4 linked regions of the Anolis sagrei genome follow. Each later gene encodes a partner of the first gene's protein in a complex. Links are inferred from orthologs where the notes say so. Each region holds a gene or a part of one and is shown in the gene's direction. Other genes may lie near its edges.

Region 1 (7,480 bases):
GTACTGTGGACTCAAGCAATGATGTATCTGGACCAAACTTGGCATGAATACTCAATATGCCCAAATGTGAAAACTGGTGGATTTTGAGGGAAATAGACCTTGACATTTGGGAGTTGGAGCTACTGGGATTTATAATTCACCAACAATCAAAGAGCATTCTGAACTCCACCAACAATGGGATTGAACCACTGTTGGCACACAGAACCCCCATCGTGGATCGGATTAACTTGTGGTCTGTCCAGCAGTCATCAGCACCTGTCATAGCTCTTGTGAGAAGCACATTGCGGTGGTCCCTGGCACATGTAATTACATAGTCTAAAAGGTGTCAATGATTTGATCGGGGGTGCTTCCATGATGTCTTGAGCTTGTTTTTCTGGCAGAAGAGCATGTTGGTGATGACAAGGTTGTGTTCCGCAAATTTGGTGAGAAGCAGTATGCCATTCAAGTTGCTGTTTCCAACCCCATATTTTCCTATGGTCCCTGGCCACAAGTCAAAGCCTCAACCAATTCTTGTGTTAAAATCCCCCAGGGGGATAATTTTGTTCTCCTTACAAGGTGCAGTATTATAGCGATGAAGATGGAAAATAAGGTTGGGGCAATAACACATCCCTGTTTGACACCTGATTCCTCCTTAAATGGGTCACTTTGGGAGCCATTGCCAGCCAAGAGTGTTGCCATCATATCATTGTGGAGGAGCTGCAGGATGTTCACAAATTTGTCAGGGCACCTGATTTTTTGGAGGATGGTCCAGAGAGCACTGCTATTCACTGTGTTGAATGCCATTGCGAGGTCAATGAATGCCATGTAGAGAGGATGATTTGTTCCCTGTATTTTTCTTGGAGCTGTCGTGCAGTGAAGATCATGTCCACTGTTCCTCTGCCGGGGTGGAAGTCATTCTGGTATTCTGGGAGAGTGTCTTCTGAGACAGGTAGAAGGTGGTTTGCAAGGATTCTTGCGAGGATTTTCTCAGCAGAGGTTAGAAGTGAGATACCTTGATAGTTTCCGTAGTCTGTTCTTTCCCCTTTTTTGAAAAGGGGGGTGATGGTGGCATCCTTGACGTCTGCTGGGATTTTCTCAGACTCTCACACTTTTTCAATGAGCTGGTGTAGTTGTTGTGTCAGCTCACCTATAAAGCCGTAAACAGTTTGGGACCTGCCTATCTTCGTGACCGCATTGTACCCTACGAACCTGCACAATCTCTAAGAACTTTTGGGGAAGCTCTCCTCTACTCCTATCCCTGTCATAAGTGCAGTTGGTGGGGACAAGAGAGAGGGCCTTTTCTGTAGTGGCCCCCTGGTTCTGGAACTCTCTCCCCAGGGAGATTAGACTAGCACCCAATCTGTCCACTTTCTGCAAAGAACTAAAAATGTGGATGTTCCATTGTGCTTTTGACTAGACAGTTCCCCTGATACTTTTGTCCCCAGCTATGATCCAAAACCAATTCTTGCACATTGCCACTGTTCCCCAACTAGAGATATCGTGCTCTCTTTACATTGCTCCCCATTTCCTAACGTTGTCATCTGGTTTCAGGACTTTACCCATTATCCATTATATTCATCCACAGCATCTTCCAAATCAATGGGGGTGCTGAAGCCTTCTAAAGCAGTTTCTTCCAAAGCATCATCATCCCATCCTTGTAAATGATTTGCACCATCCCACCTCCCCAACCTCAGAACTTTGCACTACTCAGACCATTGGTGGTTTGCTTGATTATTGTCTTATATTGTATTATATTGTATTATGCGTGGTTGTTTTTATATTGTTTTAAATTGTCTTTATGAATGTTGTTGTGTTATATTTTAACCATATTAAGTTCGGGCTTGTCCTCATGTAAGCCACCCAGAGTTCCTTCAGGGAGATGGAGGCGCGGTATAAAAATAAAGTAGTTATTATTATTATTATTTGAAACACAACAAGATGAGTCCACAATAAACAAGATCACTCTGCTGGCTGTTGTATTGGATCACACGTCGGACATTTCCAAGTGTCTAGGACTGTGTGATGTATCGGCGAATAATGCGTGCAGATCCCAGTAAGGCGGCCTTTTGCAGCTGGCAGATGGTAATTTTGTCAGCGCCTATTGTGTTAAAGTGCAGGCCAAGGTCTTTAGGCACTGCACCCAGTGTGCCAATCACCACTGGGACTACCTTTACTGGCTTGTGCCAGAATCTTTGCAGTTCGATCTTTAAATCCTCATATTGTGTCAGCTTTTCCTGCTGTCGCCTGGGATTGCCACATCAACAATCCATACTTTGTTTTTTAACACGATCGTAAGGTCAGGCGTATTGTACTCCAAAACTCTGTCAGTCTGAATTCTGAAGTCCCAGAGTAGTTTGACGTATTCATTTTCTGTAACTTTTTCAGGCTTGTGATGCCACCAGTTCTTTGTTGCAGGCAGATGGTGTTTGTGGTACAAGTTTGATTGTTTGGTATGGCAAAATATTATTAATATTATTATTATTAGCTCAGGTCCACCCTCTTTAAATATTTCAGCAGGGATCCCATCAGGTCCGCTGGCTTTGTTATTCTTTTGTTGGCTGATGGCATTACTGATTTCTTCCAAACTAGGCAGTGCTGCAAGCTCATCCCTGGTTTGTTGTTGCATGATTTATAAGAAAATCTCTTTGGCCACATTGGAGCTGTGATTCAGGAGGCTTTGGTAGTTCTCTTTCCAATGTAGTGCCATTGATTTTTTTTTTTTTGTCCTTCAAAAGCTTGGCTCCATCTCATGGGCATAGAGGGTATATGCCAAGAATTCTTGGTCTCTCGATGACTTTTGTGGCTTTAAAAATCCCTGAGCATCATGGGTATCTGCAAAGTGTTGGATTTCTTCAGCCTTCTTTGTTCACCAGATGTTCTTGAGCTCTCTGGTCCTTCTTTGGCTCTCAGCTTTTGCACTGTTAGAATTGTGGGAGTTAGAGTCCAAAACACCTGGAGGGCCAACATTTGCCCAGGCCTAATATGGATGACTTACATTTAGCACTGCATAGGCCTGCTTTTTTATTATTCATATTTATTGAGGTTTTTCTGAAATACACTTAAAAGAGGGGGAACATATCAGGTGTATAGGAAAGTAGGAAATACAAGCAGGGATGTTTTTATATTGTTTGTTTATTGTTATATTGTTTGTTATATTGTTGTATTGGCTGCATTGTTTATTACTGTTGATTGTTATATTGTTCGCTATATTGTTTATTGTTATATTGTTTGTAATATTGTTATTTTGGCTTCATTGTTATTGTTTATTGTTATATTGTTTGTTTTATCGGCTGCATTGTTTATTGTTATATTGTTTGTTATATTGTTATATTGTTTGTAATATTGTTATATTGACTGCATTGTTTATTATTGTTTATTGTTATATTATTTATTGTTTGTTATATCGGCTGCATTGTTTATTATTGTTTGTTGTTATATTGTTTATTGTTTGTTGTTGTTATATTGGCTACAATGTTTATTATTGTTTATTGTTATATTGTTTGTTATATCGGCTGTATTGTTAATTATTGTTTATTTTTATATTGTTTGTTATGTTGTTTATTGTTTGTTATATTGTTATATTGACTGCAATGTTTATTGTTTATTGTTACATTGTTCGTAATATTGTTATATTGGCAGCATTGTTTATTGTTTATTGTTATATTGTTTATTGTTTGTTATATTGTTATATTGGCTGCAATGTTTATTGTTTATTGTTACATTGTTTGTAATATTGTTATATTGGCAGCATTGTTTATTATTGTTTATTGTTTGTTTGTTATATTGGCTGCATTGTTTATTTTTGTTTATTGTTATATTGTTATAGTGGCTGCATTATTATTGTTTATTGTTATATTGGCTGCATTGCTTATTATTGTTTATTGTTATATCATTTGTTATATTGTTTATTGTTTGTTATATCGGCTGCATTGTTTATTATTGTTTGTTATATTGTTTATTGTTGTTATATTGGCTGCAATGTTTATTATTGTTATATTGTTTATTATATTGTTGTTTGTTATATTGATTGTTAATTATTGTTTATTGTTATATTGTTTGTTATATTGTTATATTGGCTGCATTGTTTATTGTTATTTATTGTTATATTTTTGTTTGTTGGTTAATGTTTGTTATATTGGCTGCATTGTTTATTATTGTTTATTGTTTGTTATTGTTCGTTATATTGGCTGCATTGGCCAATATAACATTTATTTCCTTCAGTGAAGACTATTTTTCTGAAGGAAGAAGTCACAAAGAAGTGATGTTTTGTAACGTATTTACTGATTTAAGCACACACCCACACCCACACAAGAGAGGCTCCTCCCCTTCTTCTTCCTCCCGCGCTGGAAAGCATGCCTCTCCCACCCACCCATCCTTCCTTCCCTCCCTCCCTTCCGCCGCATTCAGCCGGCGATGACGCACACAGCCGGGCGCGCTCCCGAGGAAAAGAACCCCGCTCGGGAGCGCGCCTCGGGGGCGAGCGCGGCCCCCCACGTGGCCCCGCCGGGAGCCAATCAGGAAGCGGGGATTGTGGGGCGCCAAGCGCGTGCTGGCGGGCAGTTGCTGCGGGCGGGATTGAAGAGAGAGAGAGAGAAGGGGAGATTGAGAGAGAGAGGGAGACGGGCTTCGGAGGTGCTTCTTTCCCTCAGCGAAGCGTCGCCATGTCCGAGGAGAAGCCAAAGGTGAGTTAAATCAGCGGGAGGGAAGGAGGCAAGGATTGGCCTCCATCATCCTCACCGCCGCCTTCTTCTGAGGGGAAAAGTGCGGCCTTCCTTTCTCTCAGTGAGGGAGAAGCCAGGCCTTTCCTCGACCCGGAAGAAGAACGGCGAGGCGGGGGTGGAGTGCTGTTAGGCCTCAGGGCTTGCCTCTCTCGCATCTTTGGCATCACCCACGCGTTATGGGATTTGTAGTTCCTCTTGGGCATGGGAGGCCTTGTGGTGATACAACTCCTATTGAGCCTTCCAAAGTGGCGCCAAACTGCATTCATTTTCGCCCTGATGTTTCTGATAGTTTATTACAGGCCTGGGCCAACTTGGGCCTTCCTCCAGGTGTTTTGGACTCCAACTCCCACCATTCCTAACAGCCTCAGGCCCGCTTAAGCGGCTGAGGGGCAAAAGGAAAGGGCCTGAGGCTGTTAGGAATGGTGGGAGTTGGAGTCCAAAACACCTGGAAAGCAGGCCCAAGTTGGTCCAGGCCTGCTTCACAATATTGTGAATGAAATTCCTTTTTTTGCATCAATGCATTTTATATTCATTCTCAAGCCCCATCTCCCAAGGTATCTCATAATGCATATATGCAAATATCCTTCTACTCCCAAGCCTTTTAAACTGTCTCTTAAGCCTCCAAACTGCAGCTCGACTCCCACAAAAGCGCGCGAAAGAAAAGCCCTCCCTGCGCATCCTTGCTTTGTGGAATCACCATCCAGGCCTACAAACCGGTTTGGAAATTACCTACACAGAGAAACCTCTTTCTTCAGTACTAGCATTACTAAATAGTCATGTTATACTTGATCTGGGACACCAAAATGCCCCAAAATTGGATTTCTTTGGCCCGTTCCACACAGCTGAATCAAATTCCACATTTTCTGGTTTGAACTGGGGGCCCTTCCACACAGCCCTATATCCCAGAATATCAAGGCAGAAAATCCCACATTATCTGAGTGTGGGCTCGGATAACCCAATTCAAAGCAGATATTATGGGATTTTCTTCCACACAGACCTATATCCCAGAATATCAAGGCAGAAAATCCCATGTTATCTGAGTGTGGACTCAGATAAACCCAGTTCGAAGCAGATATTATGGGATTTTCTTCCACACAGCCTTATATCCCAGAATATCAAGGCAGAAAATCCCACATTATCTGAGTGTGGAGTCAGATAAACCCAGTTCAAAGCAGATATTATGGGATTTTCTTCCACACAGGCCTGTATTCCAGAATAACAAGGCAGAAAATCCCACATTATCTGAGTATGATAACCCAATTCAAAGCAGATATTAATGGGATTTTCTTCCTAGATATTCTGGGATATAGGGCTGTGTGGAAGGGCTCTGGGATATAGGGCAGTGTGGACTCAGATAACCCAGTTCAAAGCAGATCTTGTGGGTTATTCTGCCTTGATATTCTGGGTTATATAGCTGTGTGGAAGGGCCCTGTGCGTTTTCCGGGCTGTATGGCCATGTTCCAGAAGCATCCTCTCCTGACGTTTCGCCCACATCTATGGTGGGCATCCTCAGAGGTTGTGAGGTCTGTTGGAAACTAGGCTAGTGGGATTTATATACCTGTGGAATGGCCCAAGGTGGGAGAAAGAACTCTTGTCTGCTGGAGGCAGGTGTGAATGTTGCAATTGAACCACCTTGATTACCACTGAATGGCCTTGCAGCTTCAAAGCCTAGCTGCTTCCTGCCTGGGGGAATCCTTTGTTGGGAGGTAATTAGCTGGCTCCAAAATTGTCTATGTGTTTTGAATGAAAGAGTGATACCTGTGCATCTTGATGGTTCACTGCAGCCAGTCGTGTTCATGCAGCATATTATTTAAGGTTTGTGTGTAAAATGGACCTTAAGCGTCCATTAATTTCTTGTTCTGGACTATGGGCCCCAGCTCAAAGACGGTTCATTATGTGTATATATCATCAGATATTCCCAAATCCAAAACTCTTCTTGTCCCCAGCATTTGGGATAAGGCAGACATGGGCCCTCCCAGTGTTTTGGACTGCAACTCCCACAATTCCTTACAGCCGGTAGGAATTGTGGGAGTTGAAGTCCAAAACACCGAGAGGGTCGAAGTTTGCCCATGCCTGGGATAAAGGATACTCTTGGCCCTTCCACACAGCCATATAACCCAGAATATCAAGGCAGGAGATCCCACATTTTCTTCTTTGAACTGGAATATATGGCAGTGTAAACTCAGATAACCCAGTTCAAAGCCGATATTGTGGGATTTTCTGCCTTGATACTCTGGTTTATACGGCTGTGTAGAAGGGCCCCCATTTTCCACCTTGAAGTTGTAATGCCTTGCCTCTTGCTGAGTGAACCGAGGAAGCAATAAAAGATGAGAAGAAGGGACTGCTTCCCTCCCCGGAGCTCTTATTGTCAAGGGATGGCGATGGCGTGCGACCACCACGCGGCTTCGCATCAGCCTAGACTTCCCTTTCCTTTTCCCTCCCTCTTTCGTTTCCGTTGGAAGTAGGGGAGCCGCTCTGGGATTCATGTTGTCTTCCCTACTGGTTTCCTTCGGATTTAGATCCCTGCCGCCCACGTGCTTGTGCATCCAGCGCTTTACTCTGGGCGTTAGATTCCTCTGCTGCACAAAACTTAAAGATATATGAGCCCCTTCTACTTTTCACTCAGGCAACCCTAGCTTCCATAGATTCGCCTTCCCTAGTTTAATCATTGTGCAGTGGAAAGGGGAGGGATATTATAGCATGTAAGGAAGAGATTAACACTTATCTTCTCCAGTTGGAAATTGGCTATTTCTATTTATGGCAGAAAGTCCATTGGCATC
Region 2 (7,112 bases), about 190 Mb from region 1:
AACCCAAGAAGATATAAACCAATTGGATAAAGAAATCTCCTAGTTTCAATATAGACAAATCAGAGAATATTACATCAAAGGTAAGAAAATGGATTCATAGAAAAAGAAGTATTTTGGGACAAAGTTTTGATGACACAGAATAAATCAATAACTAAAATATTTTTTAAAAAACCACTAGAATGATCCACAGAAACCAAACAAACAAAGGAATGCATGATCAAATGGGCGGCAAATATTGGACATTCATTTAAGTTAGAGGTGTGAGAAAATATGTGAAATAAGAAATTAAAATGGACATATCCCTATGGTTTAAAGGAGAACTGGTTAAAAATTATATACAGATGGTACACCACCCCTCAGAAATTGGCAAGAAGTTATCCAAAAACGAATGATAAATGTTGGAAATGCGAGGAGAAGTGAGTTCCTTCTATCATATGTGGTGGACCTGCAAAACAGCTAAACAGTATTGGAAAGGCATTCAGGAAGAGACTCAGAAGATATTAAAAACAAGTATACAATTTAAGCAGAGCATTTCTTATTGGGAATGATAGACATGGGAATGGAAGAAAATAAAGAAAGACTCGTCAACTACCTGGTGACAACGGCTAGAATGAACTATGCACGCTATTAAAAGAAATACCGACAAAGGCGCAGTGGATTTTGAAAATTATGGATATAATGAAAATAGAAATTTTAACACAGATAATGAGCATTAACCAAGCAAAAAAAAAGAGAAAAATAACAGACTGGTCACTAATCAAAGAATACATGACTCAAGAAAACATCACTTTGCTAGTGAATATGTAAGAAGATTCACCAAGCAAGCAATGTCATCAAAGGAGAGAGAAGAAAGAGAGAAAGCAGAGCAAAGTTAAAATATTGGGAAACAAAGGAAGATGAAAACACTAGAGAAGATGGGAAGTCAAACTCTTCAACCGCCCCCCCACCCATTCCCAAGTTATCACCCCAACTTCCCCTTTATAAATCCTCCATAGCCCCTCTGTAGATCCCCCTCTAGTTGTAGTCTTTGAGGCAGTGTTTCACAACCTGGGAGTTGGGACACCTGGAGAGGTTGCCAGGAGGTGTCAGAGGGGTCGCCAAAGAGCATAAAGAAAACATAGTATTTTCTGTTGGTCATGGGGGTTCCATGTGGGAAATTTGGCCCAATTCTATCATTGGTGGGGTTCAGAATGCTCTTCTCATTGCAGGTGAACTATAAATCCCAGCAACTACATCTCCCAAATGTCAACTCTGTTTTCCCCAAACTTCACCAGTGTTCATGTTTGGGCATATTGAGTATTTGTGCCAAGTTTGATCCAGACCCATAATTATTTGAGTACACAGTGCTTTCTGGATGTAGGTGAACTACAACTTCAAAACTCAAGGTCAATGCCCACCAAACCCTTCCAGTGTTTTCTGTTGGTCATGGGAGTTCTGTGTGACATGTTTGGTCCAATTCCATCATTGGTAGAGTTCAGAATGCTCTTTGATTGTAGGTGAACTATAAATCCCAGCAACTGCAACTCCCAAAAGACAAAATCAACCCCCAACCCCCAACCCCACCAGTATTCAAATTTGGATGTATCGGGTATTTGTGTCAAATTTGGCCCAGTGAATGAAAATACATCCTGCATATCAGATATTTAGATTATGATTCATAACAGTAGCAAAATTAAAGTGATGAAGTAGCAATGAAAATAATTTTATGGTTGGGGGTCACCACAACATGAGAAACTGTATTAAGGGCTCGCAGCATTAGGAAGGTTGAGTAACACTGCTTTAAGGGGACATCTCTAGATACACCCCACCCATCTTGATGCCTACTCCACCAAGTTAACCTAACTCCCTCTTTTTTTAACCCATATTTCTGTACACATAATTCACTAATAAAATTATTTCAAGAGAGAGAGAGAGAAGGAGGAGAGACAAGAACAGCAATATGATAGCTTACTTACTTATTTACTTAGGCGATCCCTCGTTGTCTGAGTAAGATTGTCTTCCAAGATCGATGTATTGCCCGTGGGTCCGTAGGTGACTGTGGAGCCCTATTCTTTATCTGCATGTTCTACCGTAGTGAGGGCATTGGTTTCCAGGTGAAAGGCGGTCCCGGTCAGGGTTGGCTTGACACGCCTTCCTCTTGGAACGTTTCTCTTTCATCCTCCATTCATGCCTCTTCAAATTCTACAGTACTGCTGGTCACAGCTGACCTCCAGCTGGAGCGCTCAGGGCTTCCTCAGTGTCTATGCCAGAGTTTTTAAGGTTGGCTTTGAGCCCATCTTTAAATCTCTTTTCCTGTCCACCAATATTCCATTCCGTTTTCCATTCTTGAGTTCAGAGTAGAGCAACTGCTTTGGGAGATGGTGGTCGGGCATCCGGACAACGTGGCCGGTCCAGCGGAGTTGATGGCGGAGGACCATTGCTTCAATGCTGGTGGTCTTTGCTTCTTCCAGCACACTGACGTTTGTCCATTTGTCTTCCCAAGAGATTTGCAGGATGTTTTGGAGGCAGCGCTGATGGAATCGTTCCAGGAGTTGCATGTGACGTCTGTAGACTGCCCATGTCTCGTAGGCTTATAGCAGGGTTGGGAAAACAATAGCTTTATAAACAAGCCCCTCGGTCTCCCTACAGATGTCCCGGTCCTCAAACACTCTCTGCTTCATTCAGAAAAATGCTGCACTCGCAGAGCTCAGGCGATGTTGTATTTCAGTGTCAATGTTGACTTTTGCGGAGAGGTGGCTGCCAAGGTAGCGGAAAGTGTCAACATTTCCTAATGTTACATGATTAAGCTGTATTTCTCGTATTGCAGAGTGATTGGCTGGTGACTGCTAGAAGAGCACTTTAGTTTTCTCGATGTTCAATGACAGGCCGAGCTTCTCATATGCTTCTGCCAAGGTGTTTAGAGTGGTTTGTAGGTCTTCTTCTGAATGCGCACAGATGACGTTGTCATCAGCATACTGGAGTTCTATAACAGATGTTGTTGTAACCTCGGTTTTGGCTTCCAGTCTGCTGAAGTGAAATAGCTTGCCATCTGAGGAAGAGCACTTTGGTTTTCTCGATATTCAATGACAGGCCGAGCTTCTCGTATGCTTCTGCGAAGGTGTTTAGTGTGGCTTATATAGGTCTTCTTCTGATTGTGCGTAGACGACGTTGTCATCAACATACTGGAGTTCTATAACAGATGTTGTTGTAACCTTGGTTTTGGCTTCCAGTCTGCTGAAGTGAAATAGCTTGCCATCTGAGGAAGAGCACTTTGGTTTTCTCGATGTTCAATGACAGGCCGAGCTTCTCGTATGCTTCTGCGAAGGTGTTTAGAGTGGCTTGTATAGGTCTTCTTCTGAATGCGCACAGACAACATTGTCATCAGTATACTGGAGTTCTGTAACAGATGTTGTTGTAACCTCGGTTTTGGCTTCCAGTCTGCTGAAGTGAAATAGCTTGCCATCTGAGGAAGAGCACTTTGGTTTTCTCGATGTTCAATGACAAGCCGAGCTTCTCGTATGCTTCTGCAAAGGTGTTTAGAGTGGTCTTCTTCTGAATGTGCACAGACGACATTGTCATCAGCATACTGGAGTTCTATAACAGATGTTGTTGTAACCTCGGTTTTGGCTTTCAGTTTGCTGAAGTGAAATAGCTTGCCGTCTGTCCGATAGATGATTTCCACTCCGGCGGGAAGCTTCCCATCAACAAGATAAAGTACCATAGCAACGAAGACGGAGAATAAAATTGGGGCAACAACACATCCCTGTTTGACACCTGATTCCACCTTAAATGGGTCACTTTGGAAGCCATTGCTGTCCAAGACTGTTGCCACCAAATTAGCTTTACTTCCTCTTTTGTTTTGACCCATATTTCTGTACACATAATTCACTATTAAATGATTTCAAGAGAGAGAATGCAATATTCCTGCTTCTTGGCAGGGGGTTGGACTGGATGGCCCATGAGGTCTCTTTCAACTCTTTGATTCTATGATTCTATAAGAGAGAGAGAGAAGAGGGAGACAAGAACAGCAATATGATAGCAAAGAAAACCTCGCCTCAGGAAGAGAACAAGCAAATGAGAGCCCGGAACGCTTCTGCGCGGGGAGCGGTTTCCGGGGGGACTTGCCGGAAGTGGCGCACAGCCGCTGCCTTGAACGCGCGTACAACGCTACTGCTTGTTCCAAACGAGGAGGCACCTGGACCTGGAGCCACTTCCTCTGTCCGCGCGCTCTGCTGGGGTTCTGCAGGTGAGGAAAGGCCTAAGCCATTCGGCTGCAGTCTTCTAAGCAGAGAGAAGGCGGGAGAGGCTGCATTGAGGCATTTGGTGAAGAGGTGGGCGAAAGGTTTGGGATGGGAGTGTCTCTGCACCAGGCCTGGGCCAACTTCGGCCCTCCAGGGGTTTTGGACTTCAACTCCCACAATTCCTAACAGCCGGTAGGCTGTTAGGAATTGTGGAAGTTGAAGTCCAAAACCCCTGGAGGGCCCAAGTTGGCCCAGGCCTGTTATGTTTTGCTATCCTGTGTTCCCTGGTGGGGATTTTCCAACATATATTTATCCAGAGCACTCAGATGCTCATAGATAGGCAATGCCCATAATATAGGTATGTATATAAAGTCAGAAATGCTGCAGTAGCAAAAGCAAAGTATTTTTATAATATGTAATGTTTAGTTTAAGAGGCTATGGTCTAAAACAGGCACGGACAAACTTCGGCCCCCCAGGTGTTTTGGACTTCAGCTCCCACAATTCCTCAGCCTTTTTTTTTTCGTGTCAGGAGCGACTTGAGAAACTGCAAGTCGCTTCTGGTGTGAGAGAATTGGCCATCTGCAAGGATGTTGCCCAGGGGACACCCGGATGGTTTTTAAAAAATGTTTTACCATCCAGATGGTTTTTAAAAAATGTTTTACCATCCTTATGGGAGGCTTCTCTCATGTCCCTGCATGGGAAGCTGGAGCTGACAGAGGGAACTCATCCACACTCTCCTCCGAATTCAAACTTCCGACCTGTTGGTCTTCAGTCCTGCCGCTTCTGGTGTGAGAGAATTGGCCATCCGCAAGGATGTTGCCCAGGGGACACCCAGATGGTTTTTTAAAAAAATGTTTTACCATCCTTGTGGGAGCTGAAGTTCTCTCATGTTCCTGCATGGGGAGTTGGAGCTGACAGAGGGAGCTCATCCGCATTCTCCTCCAAATTCAAACCTCCGACCTGTTGGTATTCAGTCCTGCCGCTTCTGGTGTGAGAGAATTGGCCATCTGCAAGGACGCTGCCCAGGTGATGCCCAGATGGTTTTTAAAAAATGTTTTACCATCCTTGTGGGAGGCTTCTCTCATGTCCCTGCATCGGGAGCTAGAGTTGACAGAGGGAGCTCATCCGCACTCTCCCCCAAATTCAAACCTCCAACCTGTTGGTCTTCAGTCTTGCCACTTCTGGTGTGAGAGAATTGGCCATCTGCAAGGATGTTGCCCAGGGGGACACCCAGATGGTTTTTTAAAAAAATGTTTTACCATCCTTGTGGGAGGCTTCTCTCATGTCCCTGGATGGCGAGCTGGAGCTGACAGAGGGAGCTCATCAGCGCTCTCCCCCGAATTCAAACCTCCTACATACAATAAGTTCCAAAACTATTTTTTCCCAAGTTCTGCGCAGAAGTGCCCTAACTTTACTGTGAACAACTAGGGACAGATATGTTTAGCTACACTTAGAAATATGGACTATTGAATCTAAGTTTGATTTACCAAGATGATTATGATGTTCTTGAAATGCAATGGTTATGGTAACTTTGTGGCAGCCTGGACTTTGAAGCAAATATCTAGGCCCACCCAAATTAGAATGAACACAGCCATCCTCAAACACAATGCCAGTTTAATCATAGTTTGACATAAGTCTTATAAGACTATTTGAACAAAGCAGTATAGTGCACATTACCAGCCAAAGGGAGGACCTCTAGTATTTCTTTAATACTGTTAAATCCCCACAAACATTATCAGTGCTCACCACTATTGGAATACCTTTGAGGATGGGTTGAGAAAGGATGGCAGAGTCCCCATTTAGAGGAGCTGGCGATTCACACCAGTAGCACTTCAAAGGAAGCTTTCTTCAGTCCTTCTGGCACAAGGATTTAACCCATTGTGCCACCAAGGGATCCTTCTCACAGCCAGTAGGCTGTTAGGAATTGTGGGAGTTGAAGTACAAAACACACGGAGGGCCAAAATTTGCCCATGTCTGATCTGAATCCAGTTTTGTTCCCAATACCATTGATTAAAGGCTTCTGAATCAAAATCTAACAATCGGATTTAAGCATAAGCACTATTGAGGTTGTGTAAAGAATATTTTACTTATCTCTCCTACTTTATAGCATTTGCAACTCAACATTGATAATTAATATATTATGTATTAATATTTAATAATAAATAGTTTTCTGGGGTAAATTACTCAAATTATACATATGTCCAAGATATAGACTGTTCTATGGATTTGTAAATTAATATGTTTTTTAATAATAATAATATATTTCTACCTCACCACCATCTCCCTGAAGGGACTCGGGATGGCTCACAAAAGTACTGTGAGTACTGCATATAAAATGAACAATACATAAGTTTAGAAAACACCACATCATTCTATAAACAACAAACACACATAAGACCTCATCTAGTAAAATTGTAAGAATTCATAAAATGCAGTTTTAATGTTCAGATTTACACTATTATTTAAAAACAGTATTCTATCAACAATTTACCATATTTGTTAATTATTAAGATAGAGAGTAGGAGAAAAAAATCAGCAATTGACTAGAAGCAGTAGCAAAAAAAGTTATTTTTAAACAGAGCAGAACAATACACCAGCTGTGTACAAAGCAAATATGAACCTTAATCAAAATACCTTGCCCATGATTTAGAACTGTATGACAATTTGTTTCCCCTTTTTTGAAGTGCATGGTGTTTGTACACTTCATAAAGTACTCATTGGGTCAGAATCATGTACAGTCTGTATAGAACAATACTGTCATAACAGTGTTCTACAAAACTTTCTTGCTTGAATTCCTCAGTTAATAAACATGTCACAGAAAAATGCTTGTATTCAAAATTATTGAAGTTTGGTTAATTAGTATTGCCGCTGATTTACATCTCAAAGATGCCA
Region 3 (7,981 bases), about 580 kb from region 1:
GGAGCCCAAGTTAGACAGAAAATTAAGAAGCAAATTAGCAAAGCAAGAAAGGTGAAATTAATCAAAAATAGGTTAAGGTTAGATTTTATTCTACAGGAACTATTGCCTAGGCTGTATTTTTCATCTTGTAATGATCAGCTAGCTATGTGTGAAATCTATCAATTCCACCTGTTATTAGTTCCCCATGGACGTTTGAAATCATCAATAATTGATACACTTTTATCTTTCAAAAGTTTTTGCTTGAAAGACATGGTTATTTAAATTTAAAAAATACAGCCTTGATTACTACAAGGTACTTTCTGGGTCAGGAATTACGGGAATGAATTGCAGTTGATTCAAGTACCTGTGGGGAGTGATGGGATACAGCTTAACTTTGATTTTGTGCGAAAAGACAAGCCGGTGGTTTTACAAATCCTTAAAATTTAAAAGAATGGCTATTCAAATGCCTCCTAGACATATAACCTAAAGTCAAAAAGAAATGGGGAAAAACATCAGTGATATATTCCATAGTGAGATGACAGCTCTCTAAAACTGAAAGGTCAGCCTTGAGAATCATTCAACCAGTCTTCCATTAAGTCTAATGATGCTTCTACACTGTAAAATCAATGCAATTTGACAGTACTTTTACTACCATGGATCAATGCTTTGGAATTCTAGGAGTTATAATTTTACAAAGTCTTAGGCTTCTCTGCCAAAGAGTGCTGGTGCCTCACCAAACTATAGTTCCCAGGGTTCCATAGATTGGCAGTAAAAGTGGCATCAAACCATTAATTTTACAGTATAGATCAGGCATGGGCAAACTTGGGCCATCCAGATGTTTTAGATTTCAACTCCCACAATTCCCAATGTGGGAATTGAAGTCCAAAACACCTGGAGGGCCAAGTTTGCTCATGCCTGGTTTAGATGCACCCCAATAAAGCACTTAGAACCATACTTGAGTTGTATCTTACACAATGAGCCCCCGGTGGCACAGTGGGTTAAACCCTTGTGCTGGCAGGACTGAAGACCGACAAGTCGGAGGTTCGAATCCAGGGAGAGCGTGGATGAGCTCCCTCTGTCAGCTCCAGCTCCCATGCGGGGACATGAGAGAAACCGCCCACAAGGATGGTAAAACATCAAAACATCCAGGCGTCCCCTGGGCAACATCCTTGCATATAGCTAATTCTCTCACACCAGAAATCACTTGCAGTTTCTCAAGCTGCTCCTGACATGAAAAAAAAATCTTACAGAATAAATCAAACATGCTGAAACATTTTAGACTGAAATATTTAAGCTTGGAATGACATGTCACTCCACCTGCTGTCGGGGTCATATTGGAACAAATAGTGCTGATGTTTATTTAACTGGCAGAGCGAGTCACTGGGCTCCTGAGGCCACTTAATTCAGGATCCTTTCATGATTGCATTTCATAACAACTCCTGATGCCAAAACTCAGTTTGACTCCGCATGCAACAGCACATTTCCGCACTCAGGGCAGCATCAGATTTCGGCAGCGGTGTATTTTTAGGCTGACTCCCACAGTCGCGGGACCTTCAGAATTCAGGACACAAGGATCTGAACTGAATTGTAATGCAAGGGATGCATCTACATGGGAGAAGCAACACAGTTTGATAGCACTTTTAAGTGCCATGGATCAATGCTACTGAATTCTGGGAGCTGGAGTTTAACCAAGTCTATAGCCGACTGTAGATTTGCGTGAAACCCAATGGAACAGATCGACGACAAATCGGATAAAGGAATAGTCCACTGTGCCTATGAGTGTTGGTGCCGAGACATTAACCTTGGGGGCATCCAAGAATGAATGCAGTTTGACACCATTTTAACTGCCATAGCTGAATGTTAGGGATTCCTGGGAGATGGACTTTAATGAAGTCTATAGCCAACTATATATCTGCATGAAACCCAAAGGAACATTGGGTGCATCCACACTGTAGAATGAATGCAGTTTGACACCACTTTAACTGCCATGGCTCAATAGAATAATGGGAGATGGAGTTTAGCAACGTCTATAGCTGACTATATATTTGTGTGAAACCCAAACAAACAGATTGACGACAAATCAGATAAAGGAATAGCCAACTGCGTCTATGCCGTTGAGGCTGCGACATTAACCTTGGGTGCATCCACACTGTAGAATGAATGAAGTTTGACACCACTTTAACTGCCACGGCTCAATGCTATGGATTCCTGGGAGTTTAATGAAGTTTATTTATTTATCGACTATAGTTGTATAGTTGTATTTATCGACTATAGTTGTATACCACTTTTCTCAGCCCACGGGCGACTCAGTTTACAGAGGCATAATACAATGCCCAAACATCAGAAAACATTTAGAAACATTTAGAACATTAACATATTATATACAATCATAATAAGGTCAATAAAACATCAATCATAAATCATGACCTTCTGAATTCAGGACACGACGATCTGAACTGAATTGTGATGCAAGGGGTGCATCTACATGGGAGAAGCAACACAGTTTGATAGCACTTTTAAGTGCCATGACTCAATGCTACTGAATTCCAGGAGATGGAGTTTAACAAAGTCTATAGTCGACTGTAGATGTGCGTGAAACCCAATGGAGCAGATCAACGACAAATCGGATAAAGGAATAGCCAACTGTGCCTATGGGCGTTGATGCTGAGACATTAACCTTGGGTGCATCCACGCTGTAGAATGAATACAGTTTGACACCACTTTAACTGCCATGGCTCAATGCAATAGAATCATGGGAGTTGTGATTTCACAAGGTTTTCAGCCTTCTCTGCCAAAGAATGCTGGTGCCTTGGCAAACTACAACTCCCAGGATCCACAGCATTGGTAAAGTGGTGTCAAACTACATAGATTATATAGCAGGCATGGGCAAACTTGGGCCCTCCAGGTGTTTTGGACTTCAATTCCCACCATTCCTCGCAGCCTCAGGCCCCTTCCTTTTCCCCCTCAGCCACTTAAGCGGCTGAGGGGGAGAAGGAAGGGGCCTGAGGCTGCGAGGAATGGTGGGAATTGAAGTCCAAAACCCCTGGAGGGCCCAAGTTCACCCATGCCTGTTCTCCAGTGCCTGGAATATCATTATGCCAAGAGGTCACACTGTAGAACTGATGCAGTTCGACACCACTTTCCCAGCCCTTGCTCAAGGCTGTGGGATTGTGGGAGTTGCAGTTCCTTGCAGCACTCTTTGGCAGAGATGGCTACAAACCCTGTCAAAGTACAACATCTCCCATGGCTTCACGCCTTTGAGGTGGGATGGTGTCAAAGCTGCACTCAGTTCTCCAGGCTGAGAGAGCCGAAGGAGGAGGCGACAGCAGCAGCGACTCACCTGCTCCCCGCGCGGGGCTCTCCGGGGAGCCGCGACGACAACAGGGAAAGGCCGGCGGTGGCGGCTCCCAGGACTAGGAGGAACCCGACCAGCGGCTTCATGGCGGAGCACCAGCGATGAGTCCTGGGGAGGCACGAGAGGCGGAACTGAAAGCAGCGGGCAGAGGAGCCAGCGGAGCAGAAAAGGGCGGGCACTCCTGGCGCTCCAAGCCGCGCCCCGCCCCTCTCGTGAGTCTTAAAGGGCCAGAGACCCAGGATTTCCAGGATGAAACACCAATCCCTGAATTCTGTCGCACTGGCTTCTGGGAAATGAAGTCCAAAAAACCAAAAACAAACATAAGGTTGAACGGTGGCGCAGTGGGTTAAACCACTGAGCTGATGAACTTGCTAACTGAAAGGTCTTAGGTTCGAATCTGGGGAGCGGAATGAGCTCCCGCTGTCAGCCCCAGCTTCTGTCAATCTAGCAGTTCGAAAACATGCAAATATGAACAGATCTGGGTTGTTGTATGGCCATGTTCTAGAGGCATTCTCTCCTGACGTTTCGCCTGCATCTATGGCAAGCATCCTCAGAGGTAGTGAGGTCTATTGGAACTAGGAAAAATGCGTTTATATATCTGTGGAATGAACAGGGTAGGGCAAAGAACTCTTGTCTGTTGGAGCTAGGTGTGAATGTTTCAGCTGACCACCTTGATTAGCATTTGATGGCCTGGCAGTGCCTGGGGCAATCTTTTGTTGAGAGGTGATTAGATGTACCTGATTGTTTCCCCTCTGTTGTTTTGCTGTTGTAATTTTAGAGTTTGTTTAGAGTGAAACATGCAAATGTGAACAGATCTGGGTTGTTGTATGGCCATGTTCTAGAAGCATTCTCTCCTGACGTTTCGCCTGCATCTATGGCAAGCATCCTCAGAGGTAGTGAGGTCTATTGGAACTAGGAAAATTGGGTTTATATAACTGTGGAATGACCAGGGTGGGGCAAAGGACTCTTGTCTGCTGGAGCTAGGTGTGAATGTTTCAATTGACCACCTTGATTAGCATTTGATGGCCTGGCAGTGCCTGGGGAAATCTTTTGTTGAGAGGTGATTAGATGTGTCTGATTGTTTCCCCTCTATTAGGTCTAGTGGAACTAGGAAAAATGGGTTTATATATCTGTGGAATGACCAGGGTGAGACAAAGGACTCTTGTCTGCTGGAGCTAGGTGTGAATGTTTCAACTGACCACCTTGATTAGCATTTGATGGCCTGGCAGTTCCTGGGGCAATCTTTTGTTGCGAGGTGATTAGATGCGCCTGATTATTTCCCCTCTGTTGTTTTGCTGTTGTAATTTTAGAGGTTTTTTTAAAGAGTGAGTAGATCAATAGGTACCGCTACGGCGCGCCAGGCAGTCATGCCGGCCACATGACCTTGGAGGTGTCTACGGACAACACCGGCTCTTCGGCTTAGAAATAGAGATAAGCACCACTCCCCAGAATTCGGACAAAACTGGACTTAATGTCAAGAGGGAAACCTTTACCTGAATGCCACATACAGAATTGGAACGTATTTGAGGCGTGTGAGGGATTTGAGTTAAGGAAACTAAAGTATTTCCCTTTCACAGGTGTGCTTTTCTCTCCTTATTGAAAGCGTGGCTACGTCACTTCCTCAGCGCCCCGTCGCTGGCCAATGACGTGCTTCCGGCCCGGTCGCTGCGGCTGAGGCCTATGCAGCAATGGCTGCCCGAGGCTCTGCGCTGGTGGTTCTCCCCAAGGCCCACTTGCCGCCGGGAGGCGCCGCCTGCTCGGCCGAGGAAGAGACGGTACCTCCTCTTTGGGCGGAGCGGGCCTTCCAAGGGGTTTCGGAGGGGAGTTGCCCGGCCAAAGAAGAGCCTTCCCCGAAGGCCTCCCTCTCTCAGGCCCCTTCCACACAGCTGCATAGAACCCCATAGTATCTGCTTTGAAGTGGGGTATATGGCAGTGTGGACTCAGATAGCCCACTTCAAAGCAGATATTGTGGATGGTCTGCCTTGATATTCTGGGTTATGTGTTTGTGTGGAAGGGCCCTCGGACAGTTTGACCTCACCAACTACACCTGGCAGTTTGGTGCACTAACTACACCAGGTATGGGCAAACCTGGGCCCTCCAGGTGTTTTGGACTTCAACTCCCACCATTCCTCACAGCCTCAGGCCCCTTGCTTTTCCCCCTCAGCCGCTTAAGCGGCTGAGGGGGAAAAGGAAAGGGCCTGAGGCTCTGAGGAATGGTGGGAGTTGAAGTCCAAAACACCTGGAGAGCCCAAATTTGCCCATACCTGAACTACACTGTGGAAATAAGGCACTTTGACTTCACTCAATAATACAAAAACATGGGAGTTGTAGTTTGGTGAGGCGCCAATACTCTTTGGCAGAAAAGCCTAAAGACCTTGTAAAACTACCACATCTTCCATGATTCTGTAACATTAAACCAGGGGTCCTCACTTTTTAAACAGAGGGCCAGGTCACAGTCCCTCAAACTGTTGGAGGGCCGGATTATAATTTGAAAAAAACATGAATGAATTCCTATGCACACTGCACTAGGTGCAAAACCCACTTAATACAATAATTAAAATGAAAAACAATTCTAAAAATATAAACTTATTAGTATTTTAATGGGAAGTGTGGGCCTACTTTTGTTTGATGAGATAGGATTGTTGTTGTTGTGTGTGCTTTCAAGTCATTTCAGACTTATATTGACCCTGAGTAAGGGCCAAGTAAATGACCATGGAGGGCCGTATCCGCCCCCTGGGCCTTAGTTTGAGGACCTCTGCATTAAACCATGCAGTTAAAGTGGTGACAAACTGCATTCGTCCAACAGTATAGATCAGGCATGGTCAAACTTCAGCCCTCCCAGTGTTTTGGACTTCAATTCCCACACTTTCTAATAGCCAGTAGATAGTGGTTCCCAACCCATTTGGGGTCTCCAGGTAGCAGTGAGCTATGAAAAAATTAAGAAGGGAAATCCATAACCGTGTCCTGCACAGCGATTAGTTTGCATGTATTCTACAGTCAGATCTCAAGTTACAAACATGCAACTTATAAACGACTCATAGTTAAGAGTATAACTATGACAATAAATGACATAGTAAGAGTGAGGATGAGACAATAGGAGAGGAGAGAAATCTACCCCAGGAAGGGAAATTCACTCCTGAAAGAGTTATCATGGGGGAAAGGTGTCTCTACTGAAGCTTTCTCACCAATCCTTGTTTCCACAACAAGCTTTCTCCCCCCTCCCCCCCCCCCAAATTTTTTCAATTATCGCCAGGACGGAAAGTCCACAGACAGCAAAACAAACACTATAGGAGTGTTAACACTTCCCTATGCTATCCAAAGCTATATAATATATATCTGTGAATGGAGAAATATTTGGTTTGTGTTGGTTCTCATAATATATATCATTTCCTATACAGTATATGTAATGAAGCTGTGTCCCAGTATTGTTATTGTTTGAGACCATATGGACATGTAACTATGCAGCAATCTTGCAATATATGTGGTAGATTGGAATTTTTTTTGTTCATATCAAGAAAGTAGATTAATCAAGTAATACGAAAATACTGTTTTTTGATGTAATGAAGTCAAGAATAACTGCTGCAGGCATGCATCGTCTTAATGGTTACAATTAACAAATTCCACCTTTCTTATATGCTGCAGGTCAGTTGGGTAACCCATACATTGGTATTGAGTATTGTTATAAGGAAAACCTCCGGGTTAGCAGATGTGACCATCAAGTTTGTAGATATGTACAGTGACTGTTCGGTAGCTGTAAAATGGTGCCTGTTATGCCTGAGAGCATGGTGTTTTTGGAGATTGGTACTTCAAGCTGAGAAAGAAAGATTCCTTGTTTCTCAAATTAATTTGTCTTTTTCTCTTCACAGCATTCAGTCTAATCCAGAAGACTTTGAACATGAGCAAATAAAAAGGCAAAAACTTGGTAAATTACCCCTGTTCAATCACTTTTCATATGATTGTAAACCTTGAAAGAAAAGAGCAGAAAGAGCAAATGCTTGAAATAGATCATAACAATTACTAGTAGTAGCCTGTAATTATGTTTATATAGTGAATTGATGTTGTTTGAATAAGGCCCGGATTAAGAAGAGGAGAACATTGTAAAAATACATGTTTGAGAACTATTGACAGTAATTTGCTATATGTTTGTGACATAGAGATAGTAAAGAACATTGTACTGCCCTAAATGTTCTTGGAATCCATTTGTGTAATCCATTGACTCAATCCTCTAACATAGTCAAAATTACATGAATGTCAGAAAAAATCATAACCCAAAGAAGGACTTCCTGTGGGAGTTTTCCCTTGTGACAGTGATACTGTATTGTACTGTATGAGATTTAGGATGTGAGTTTTCCTTTGACTTCCGTACCAAATTTCCTAGATAAATGATGTGTCATTTAATGTTATTAACTCTTTCCAGGTATTTTTGGTATGTTGGCAAGGGGAATTGCCAATTTAATTACACTCCCGTCCCAGTTGGCATCCAAATATCTTCAGACAGAAGAACAGCATGCAGAAGCCAAAGATGAGGTTTGTTTGCTTTTTGAGATGATAGGATCTTCTTATTGAAGCCAAATTAAATGCATAGAACTATTGTTTTGGCAGAGAGTAGGATGGAACTGAGTATCTTACAGTTAGTAATTCCTATTG
Region 4 (7,091 bases), on another chromosome or scaffold:
CCAGGCAGCAACAGCCAGGTTTTGCAGCTGCAGAGCTACTCAATTGCTAATCAAGCTGGCTAATTGTTACAGTTGCTCCAAACACACAAGGGTTCTTTGCCCTACCCTGGACATATATATATATATATAAAGTTTACTTACATATTAGGCCTGTCAGTTTTAGTTCGTTAATTCGTTATTTTGTTATAAAATCGTTATTTTTGCATATCCGACGCGATTTCAAAACATATTTTCAAACCCGGAAGGGTTTAAAAATATCGAAACAGCAGCCCCATTTTTTTTACGAGCTGAAGCTCCGCTCGTTAATGGGATGGAGGCTGCTGTGCTGCTGGTGCCCGGCTGCTGCGCCCTCCTCCTCCTCCTCCTCCCAGCTGTGTTGCAGGAAGTGCCGGGACTCGGGAGGAGGAGGAGGAGGAAGAGGGCGCAGCAGCCGGAGCCGATCGGATGGCGCGCGCGCTCCTGCGCCCTCTTCCTCCTCCTCCTCCTCCCGGCACTTCCTGCAACACAGCTGGGAGAAGGAGGAGGAGGAAGAGGGCGCAGGAGCGCGCGCGCCATCCGATCGGCTCCGGCTGCTGCGCCCTCTTCCTCCTCCTCCTCCTCCCGAGTCCCGGCACTTCCTGCAACACAGCTGGGAGGAGGAGGAGGAGGAGGGCGCAGCAGCCGGAGCCGATCGGATGGCGCGCGCGCTCCTGCGCCCTCTTCCTCCTCCTCCTTCTCCCAGCTGTGTTGCAGGAAGTGCCGGGAGGAGGAGGAGGAGGAAGAGGGCGCAGGAGCGCGCGCGCCATCCGATCGGCGAGGAGGAGGAGGAGGAGAAGCGGGCGAGAGACGAGAGAAAGGCCGAGCGCGGGGCCACAGGCCCTACAAGCTGAAGAAGGAGAAGGTGAGGAGGGGCCCCTCTCCCCAGCAGGGAAGGGCTTGGCGCAAATGGGAGGGGAAGCAAGGCTGGCCGGGCCTCGCAGGGAGAGAGCCAGGAAGGCAGGCCTCTTCTCTGGGCCTTGGATGGGCCACTGCAGCAGAAGCAATTTGCCTTTCCCATGGCAAGAAACAGGATTTGCAGCCATGCCAGCCCAGTCCCTCCCCAGCACACAAACATATGTCTATTTGCCCTACATCTCTATCTTTTAGGCCTGTTTGATCAAGAAAAAATTTGTTTCTAAAATGTTTTGTAAATATTTACGAAATTTCGTAAATAACAAAACATTTTTTTGGAAAGTTTTGTAAATATTTTAAATATCGAAACAAAAAAACACCCCAATTAAGAATCGATTTTAGAAACAATTTTTTTCTTGATCAAACAGGCCTATTACATATATATATACCCCGTACATCTGGTCATCGGACTCTGGAACACCCTCCCCAAAGACATTAGACTAGCACCCACGTTCGTTGGCCAGGTCTTCAAATTCTTCCTAAAGACTGCCAAAGTGGGTGCTAGTCTAATGTCTTTGGGGAGGGCACATAGGATAATCTCCAGTACTATGTCCCAGAAGCACTTTATCAAAGTTTAAGACTCTCTGCACATTGCACTTGCCCAGAAATCCAACATGCTATTTGCCACACCCTGCACTTTTTGTAACTTGTACCGGCCCGGCCCTGGTTTTTATTGCGTAATAGTGTAATGTTTTGTTATTGCTTATGTTTTTATTTGCTTTGAAGTGTACTGTTATTGTTTTGCTGTTGTTGTGTTGAGGCCTTGGCCTATGTAAGCCGCATCAAGTCCTTCAGGAGATGCTAGTGGGGTACAAATACGGTTTAATAATAATAACTAGCTGTCCCCTGCCACGCGTTGCTGTGGCCCAGTCTGTTCATCTGGAAAATAAAGTAATGAGAAAGTGTTGGTTTCTAATATATGTAATTTCTTTATGCTTGTGGGTAAACAGTATGTCTTGCTGTTTCTTTGCCAGTGTTGATGTGGAGAGTGTCTGGTTTGCCCACCCTGGAACATGCAACATATAATTGTCCTTCTTTAAGGGTCCCTTTCAAATCTAGGATACTATATGTGTGTGAATCATATCTATCTGTCTATCTATCTATATCTATGGCTGGATGGCTCTTTGTCAGGAGGACTTTGATTACGTTTTCTTGCCCTGGTGAAGGGAGTTGGACTGGATTTTCTGTTGGTCATGGGGGTTCTGTGTGGGAAGTTTGCCCTGATTCTGTCATTCGTAGGGTTCAGAATGCTCTTTGATTGTAGGTGAACTGTGAATCCCAATGATTACAACTCCCAAATGTCAAGGTCTATTTCCCCCAAACTCCATCTGTGTTCATATTTGGGCGTATTGAGTGCTTGTGCCAAGTTTGGTCCAGATCCATCATTGTGCTCTCTGGATGTTAGTGAACTACAACTCCCAAACTCAAGGTCAATGCCCACCAAACCCTTCCAATTTTTTCTGTTGGTTATGGGATTTCTGTGTGCCGAGTTTAGTTCAATTCCATAGTTGATGGAGTTCAGAATGCTCTTTGATTGTAGGCAAACTATAAATCCCAGCAACTACAACTCCCAAATGACAAAATCCGAATTTTTTGAGTGATGGTTACTCCTTGCGTTGTGAGATGTTTTGTTGCCAAATTTGGTGTGATTTCGTTCATTGGTTCTTTTGATTTTAAGGTACTTATTATGCACAGAGCATTTATATATATATAGAAGATAGATAGATAATTGGCCGTAATAAAGTTTACTTACATATATATATATGTAAGTAAATATAGGTAAGTAAACCAGATATATATATATATGTAAGTAAACTTTATAAACTAAACGTCAAAAAAACCAAGATTATGGCAACAAGAATGATTGACAACTGGAAAATACAGGGAGAAACCGTGGAGGCCGTGACAGACTTTGTATTTCTAGGTGCAAAGATTACTGCAGATGCAGACTGTAGCCAGGAAATCAGAAGACGCTTACTTCTTGGGAGGAGAGCAATGTCCAGTCTCGATAAAATAGTCAAGAGTAGAGACATCAGACTGGCAACAAAGATCCGCCTAGTCAAAGCCATGGTATTCCCTGTAGTCACCTACGGATGTGAGAGCTTGACCTTAGGAAAGGCTGAGCGAAGGAAGATCGATGCTTTTGAGCTGTGGTGTTGTAGGAAAGTTCTGAGAGTGCCTTGGACTGCGAGAAGATCCAACCAGTCCATCCTCCAGGAAATAAAGCCTGACTGCTCGCTGGAGGGAAAGATACTAGAGACAAAGTTGAAGTACTTTGGCCACATCATGAGGAGACAGGAAAGCCTAGAGAAGACAATGATGCTGGGGAAAGTGGAAGGCAAAAGGAAGAGGGGCCGACCAAGGGCAAGATGGATGGATGGCATACTTGACTGACTTGACTTGACTGACCATACTGGACTGACCATGAAGGAGCTGGGGGTGGTGATGGCCGACAGGGAGCTCTGGCGTGGGCTGGTCCATGAGGTCACGAAGAGTCGGAGACGACTGAACGAATGAACAACAAATATATATGTTAGTAAACCAGATGTCTAGGTTAGGACAAAGACACACATACACTCCACTCCAAAGGCACACATACACTCCACTGGTCTCATTTCCAACAGACCTCTGGGGATACTTGCCACAGATGCAGGCGAAACGTCAGGAGAGAATGCTACTGGAAGATGGCCATCTAGGCCGGAAAACTCCCAGCAACCCAGTGATTCCAGCCATGAAAGCCTTCGACAACACATTATACAGACTCCGTTCCATGCACAAAATCATTCAAAAGATCCTGTATAAAATTACCTTTAGGTCATGTGTATAAGATGCATATGAAACATAAATGAATGTCGTGTTTAGACTTGGGTCCGATCTCCAAGCTATCTCAGGAGGTAGGCGCAAGCAAAGATGCCGCAATCCACACTGTTCCTGGGCCCCCAGGCATTTTGGATCAGGGACACTCAACCTCTAGCACCGTCTGAGGCACGTGGCCGGCAGGGCAAAACAAAGAACGCACGCGACCGCTCTTCCGCCAGTGCGCATGCGCTTCTGTCCTCCGTGTTGTGCCTCGCATCCTGTTGGCCCCGCCCCTTGCTCAGGGGCTCGGTTCTACCTTCTTTCCTTGCCCGGAAGTGACGTTAAGAAAGGGGGCGGGATAAAAATCACCGAGAGCGCCGGGAAGTTACTTCCGGTTCCCCTGACATTCCCGCCTCTTCGAATCCGGTGAGCGGAAAAGAAAGAAAGAAAGGAGTGTGTGTGTGAGAGAGAGGACAGAGAAAGTCTAAATCAAGTCCTGAAGCCTCCGGGGAAGGAGTTTGGCGGCAGAGAGAGAGAGAGAGAGAGCGCGAGTTGACGTGGTTCCTTTCCTGTTTGGTTCGCGGCCTACTCTTCCGGTAGGTTTTTGGAAGGGGTCGTCATGGAAACAGCTCCCCCTCCCCTTTTACCTTATGTGTCCCTCCATTAACCTGAGCTGCACCCACCTCTCTTCCCTCTCTTTGTCTTTGCGAGGGCAGCATGGCGGCAGAGTGACCCAGCTCTGAGCGGGAAAAAGTTCACCTGAGGGGTGAAGTCTGACAGGATTTGAGTCTTTTCGGTGTATATGGCATTCCCAATGTTGTCTGCCTGGAAGGAGTAAAAACTTCAGAAGAAAGTTTAGCCTGAAGAAGAGAAGGCTGAGAGGGGATATGATAGCCATGTATAAATATGTGAGAGGAAGCCACAGGGAGGAGGGAGCAAGCTTGTTTTCTGCTTCCCTGGAGACTAGGACGCGGAACAATGGCTTCAAACTACAAGAGAGGAGATTCCATCTGAACACGAGGAAGAACTTCCTGACTGTGAGAGCCGTTCAGCAGTGGAACTCTCTGCCCCGGAGTGTGGTGAAGGCTCCTTTGGAAGGTTTTAAACAGAGGCTGGATGGCCATCTGTCAGGGGTGCTTTGAATGCAATTTTCCTGCTTCTTGGCAGGGGGTTGGACTGGATAGCCCATGAGGTCTCTTCCAACTCTTTGAATCTATGATTCTAAGAGTGCCTCATGAGGAAAGTCTGGCTGACAAGAAAAGTGTGGAACCAAAAGCTGACTCAGTGGAGGGTGTCATACTTTGGGTATATTGTAAGAACACAAAAAGCCTTTCTTACTGGGAAAGTGAGCTTGCGTGGCACTTTTGAGACCTCACTGAGAAAAAGTTTAGTTCAAGCATTTTATTTAATCATATTAGCCCTCTTTCTCTCTCCATATGGAGACGCAAAGCAGCACACAATCCAAAATTTTATGTCAAATATATAAATATAAAATAATAAAACAAGATATCTTTATATATTATCAGTAGTAATTATATATGTAATATTTTAGTATTACTAGTCAAAGCCATGGTATTCCCTGTAGTAACCTACGGATGTGAGAGCTGGACCTTAGGGAAGGCCGAGCGAAGGAAGATAGATGCTTTTGAACTGTGGTGTTGGAGGAAAGTGCTGAGAGTGCCTTGGACTGCGAGAAGATCCAACCAGTCCATCCTCCAGGAAATAAAGCCCGGCTGCTCACTGGAGGGAAGGATACTAGAGACAAAGTTGAAGTACTTTGGCCACATCATGAGAAGACAGCAAAGCCTAGAGAAGACAATGATGCTGGGGAAAGTGGAAGGCAAAAGGAAGAGGGGCCAACCAAGGGCAAGATGGATGGATGGCATCCTTGAAGTGACTGGACTGACCTTGAAGGAGCTGGGGGTGGTGACGGCCGACAGGGAGCTCTGGAGTGGGCTGGTCCATGAGGTCACGAAGAGTCGGAGACGACTGAACAACGAATGAACAACAACATCACAATATTGTCATTATATGTTATTATATTGCATTAATTACTTAGGCGATCCCTTGTTGGCCGAGTAGGATAGTCTTCCAGGATCAGTGTCCTGGCGGTGGGTCCGTAGGTGACTGTGGAGCCCTATTCTTGATCTGCATCTTCTCTCGCAATGGTTTCCATGTGGAAGGCGGTCTTGGTCGGGGTTGGCTTGACGCGCCTTCCTCTTGGCACGTTTCTCTCTTTCACCCTCTATTCGTGCCTCTTCAAATTCTGCAGCACTGCTGGTCACAGCTGACCACCAACTGGAGCGCTCAAGGGCCAGGGCTTCCCAGTTCTCAGTGTCTATGCCAGTTTTTAAGGTTGGCTTTGAGCCCATCTTTAAATCTCTTTTCCTGCCCGCCAACATTCTGTTTTCCATTCTTGAGTTCAGAGTAGAGCAACTGCTTTGGGAGACGGTGGTCGGGCATCCGGTCCAGCGGAGTTGATGGCGGAGGACCATCGCTTCAATGCTGGTGGTCTTTGCTTCTTCCAGCACGCTGATGTTTGTCCACTTGTCTTCCCAAGAGATTTGCAGGATTTTCCAGAGGCAGCGCTGATGGAATTGTTCCAGGAGTTGCATGTGACGTCTGTAAACAGTCAACGTCTCGCAGGCATATAGCAGGGTTGGGAGAACAATAGCTTTATAAACAAGCACCTTGGTATCCCTATGGATGTCCCGGTCCTCAAACACTCTGCTTCATTCGGAAAAAATATTGCATTAAGGAAATAATGAATAAAGGAAATAATCTTATATCTTTTCTAATACTGTTCTAGCAGACTTGTCTTTTATTGCTATTTGCTCTGATGCTAATGGGCTGTGTGACTTCCTCCTGGCATCTCTTCAACTTTCTAACAGGAATTTCCACTTCCACTTAATAGTTCCCTCTCTCTCCTGTTTCACTGGTTGCTTTCACACACTGTGATTATACCCATCCTTCTCAATAACACCTGCTGCTCCCATTTAGTCGATTTTATGACAGACAAAACATGACTTGTGTCTATCTTGAGGGGAAAGTCATATGCCTTGTCATTCTATAGCACACTCAGGTTTCCCCTACATACTTCCAACACATGGTGAACATGGATATACAGAGACTGTGGTTTTTAGAATGAAATTAGAATTGACTTGAAAACTATTCTAATATTTAGTTGTGAAAAAGCCCAAAATCTGCTATTTTACTATTATTGTATTTATTTATTTCCGTTACTTCTACCCCACCATTCTCACCCCCAAGGGGGGACTCAGGGCAGCTTACAAAGGAAGGCACAATTTGATGCCTATGTCAAAAATACATACATACATAAAAGCAATTAAACAGTGAACAGA

Evidence for each region.
Region 2: the proteins of small ubiquitin-related modifier 3 (region 1) and USPL1 are in contact, whole or in part, in a crystal structure (PDB 7ZJU), measured with the Homo sapiens proteins. The link is inferred for Anolis sagrei from reciprocal best matches to the Homo sapiens genes SUMO3 and USPL1. Residues at the interface, in NP_008867.2 of Homo sapiens: Gln24, Asp25, Gly26, Ser27, Val28, Arg58, Arg60, Gly63, Gln64, Pro65, Ile66, Asn67, Asp70, Leu75, Phe86, Gln87, Gln89, Thr90, Gly91; in NP_005791.3 of Homo sapiens: Ala234, Cys236, Trp237, Pro321, Gln322, Leu323, Arg324, Met330, Glu331, Ser332, Val334, Phe335, Leu339, Tyr368, Thr378, Thr380, His393, Phe394, Gly395, Pro396, Asn398, Arg407, His421, Val423, Tyr451, Asn454, Asn455, His456, Phe457, His493.
Region 3: the proteins of small ubiquitin-related modifier 3 (region 1) and SENP2 are in contact, whole or in part, in a crystal structure (PDB 2IO1), measured with the Homo sapiens proteins. The link is inferred for Anolis sagrei from reciprocal best matches to the Homo sapiens genes SUMO3 and SENP2. Residues at the interface, in NP_008867.2 of Homo sapiens: Arg55, Arg58, Arg60, Phe61, Asp62, Gly63, Pro65, Asn67, Asp70, Leu75, Asp81, Asp84, Phe86, Gln87, Gln88, Gln89, Thr90, Gly91, Gly92, Val93, Pro94, Glu95; in NP_067640.2 of Homo sapiens: Gln385, Asp386, Phe393, Lys394, Leu395, Arg396, Trp410, Leu411, Asn412, Asp413, Glu414, Ser439, Thr440, Phe441, Pro444, Lys445, Arg456, Trp457, Lys459, His474, Lys476, Val477, His478, Trp479, Met497, Gln499, Gln542, Asn544, Gly545, Ser546.
Region 4: the proteins of small ubiquitin-related modifier 3 (region 1) and SENP1 are in contact, whole or in part, in a crystal structure (PDB 6NNQ), measured with the Homo sapiens proteins. The link is inferred for Anolis sagrei from reciprocal best matches to the Homo sapiens genes SUMO3 and SENP1. Residues at the interface, in NP_008867.2 of Homo sapiens: Gln24, Ser53, Arg55, Gln56, Arg58, Arg60, Asp62, Gly63, Pro65, Asn67, Thr69, Asp70, Gln74, Glu76, Asp84, Phe86, Gln87, Gln88, Gln89, Thr90, Gly91, Gly92; in NP_001254523.1 of Homo sapiens: Gln440, Asp441, Glu446, Arg449, Leu450, Thr451, Lys455, Trp465, Leu466, Asn467, Asp468, Glu469, Asn494, Thr495, Phe496, Lys500, Arg511, Trp512, Lys514, Lys515, His529, Gly531, Val532, His533, Trp534, Gln597, Gly600, Ser601, Asp602, Cys603.

The regions. Positions count from the first base shown.
Region 1 is NC_090023.1:223,327,740-223,335,219, forward strand, and holds the start of small ubiquitin-related modifier 3, read left to right. Parts: upstream 1-4,476; 5' UTR 4,477-4,640; coding exon 4,641-4,661; intron 4,662-7,480. UniProt on the Homo sapiens protein: Ubiquitin-like protein which can be covalently attached to target lysines either as a monomer or as a lysine-linked polymer. Does not seem to be involved in protein degradation and may function as an antagonist of ubiquitin in the degradation process.
Region 2 is NC_090023.1:32,671,909-32,679,020, forward strand, and holds the start of USPL1 (SUMO-specific isopeptidase USPL1), read left to right. Parts: upstream 1-4,099; 5' UTR 4,100-4,225; intron 4,226-7,112. UniProt on the Homo sapiens protein: SUMO-specific isopeptidase involved in protein desumoylation. Specifically binds SUMO proteins with a higher affinity for SUMO2 and SUMO3 which it cleaves more efficiently. Also able to process full-length SUMO proteins to their mature forms.
Region 3 is NC_090023.1:222,744,844-222,752,824, forward strand, and holds the start of SENP2 (sentrin-specific protease 2), read left to right. Parts: upstream 1-4,980; 5' UTR 4,981-5,014; coding exon 5,015-5,109; intron 5,110-7,200; coding exon 7,201-7,256; intron 7,257-7,751; coding exon 7,752-7,861; intron 7,862-7,981. Other genes in the region: TMEM41A (transmembrane protein 41A), read right to left, coding at 3,320-3,420. UniProt on the Homo sapiens protein: Protease that catalyzes two essential functions in the SUMO pathway.
Region 4 is NC_090022.1:186,967,581-186,974,671, reverse strand, and holds the start of SENP1 (sentrin-specific protease 1), read left to right. Parts: upstream 1-4,078; 5' UTR 4,079-4,325; intron 4,326-7,091. UniProt on the Homo sapiens protein: Protease that catalyzes two essential functions in the SUMO pathway.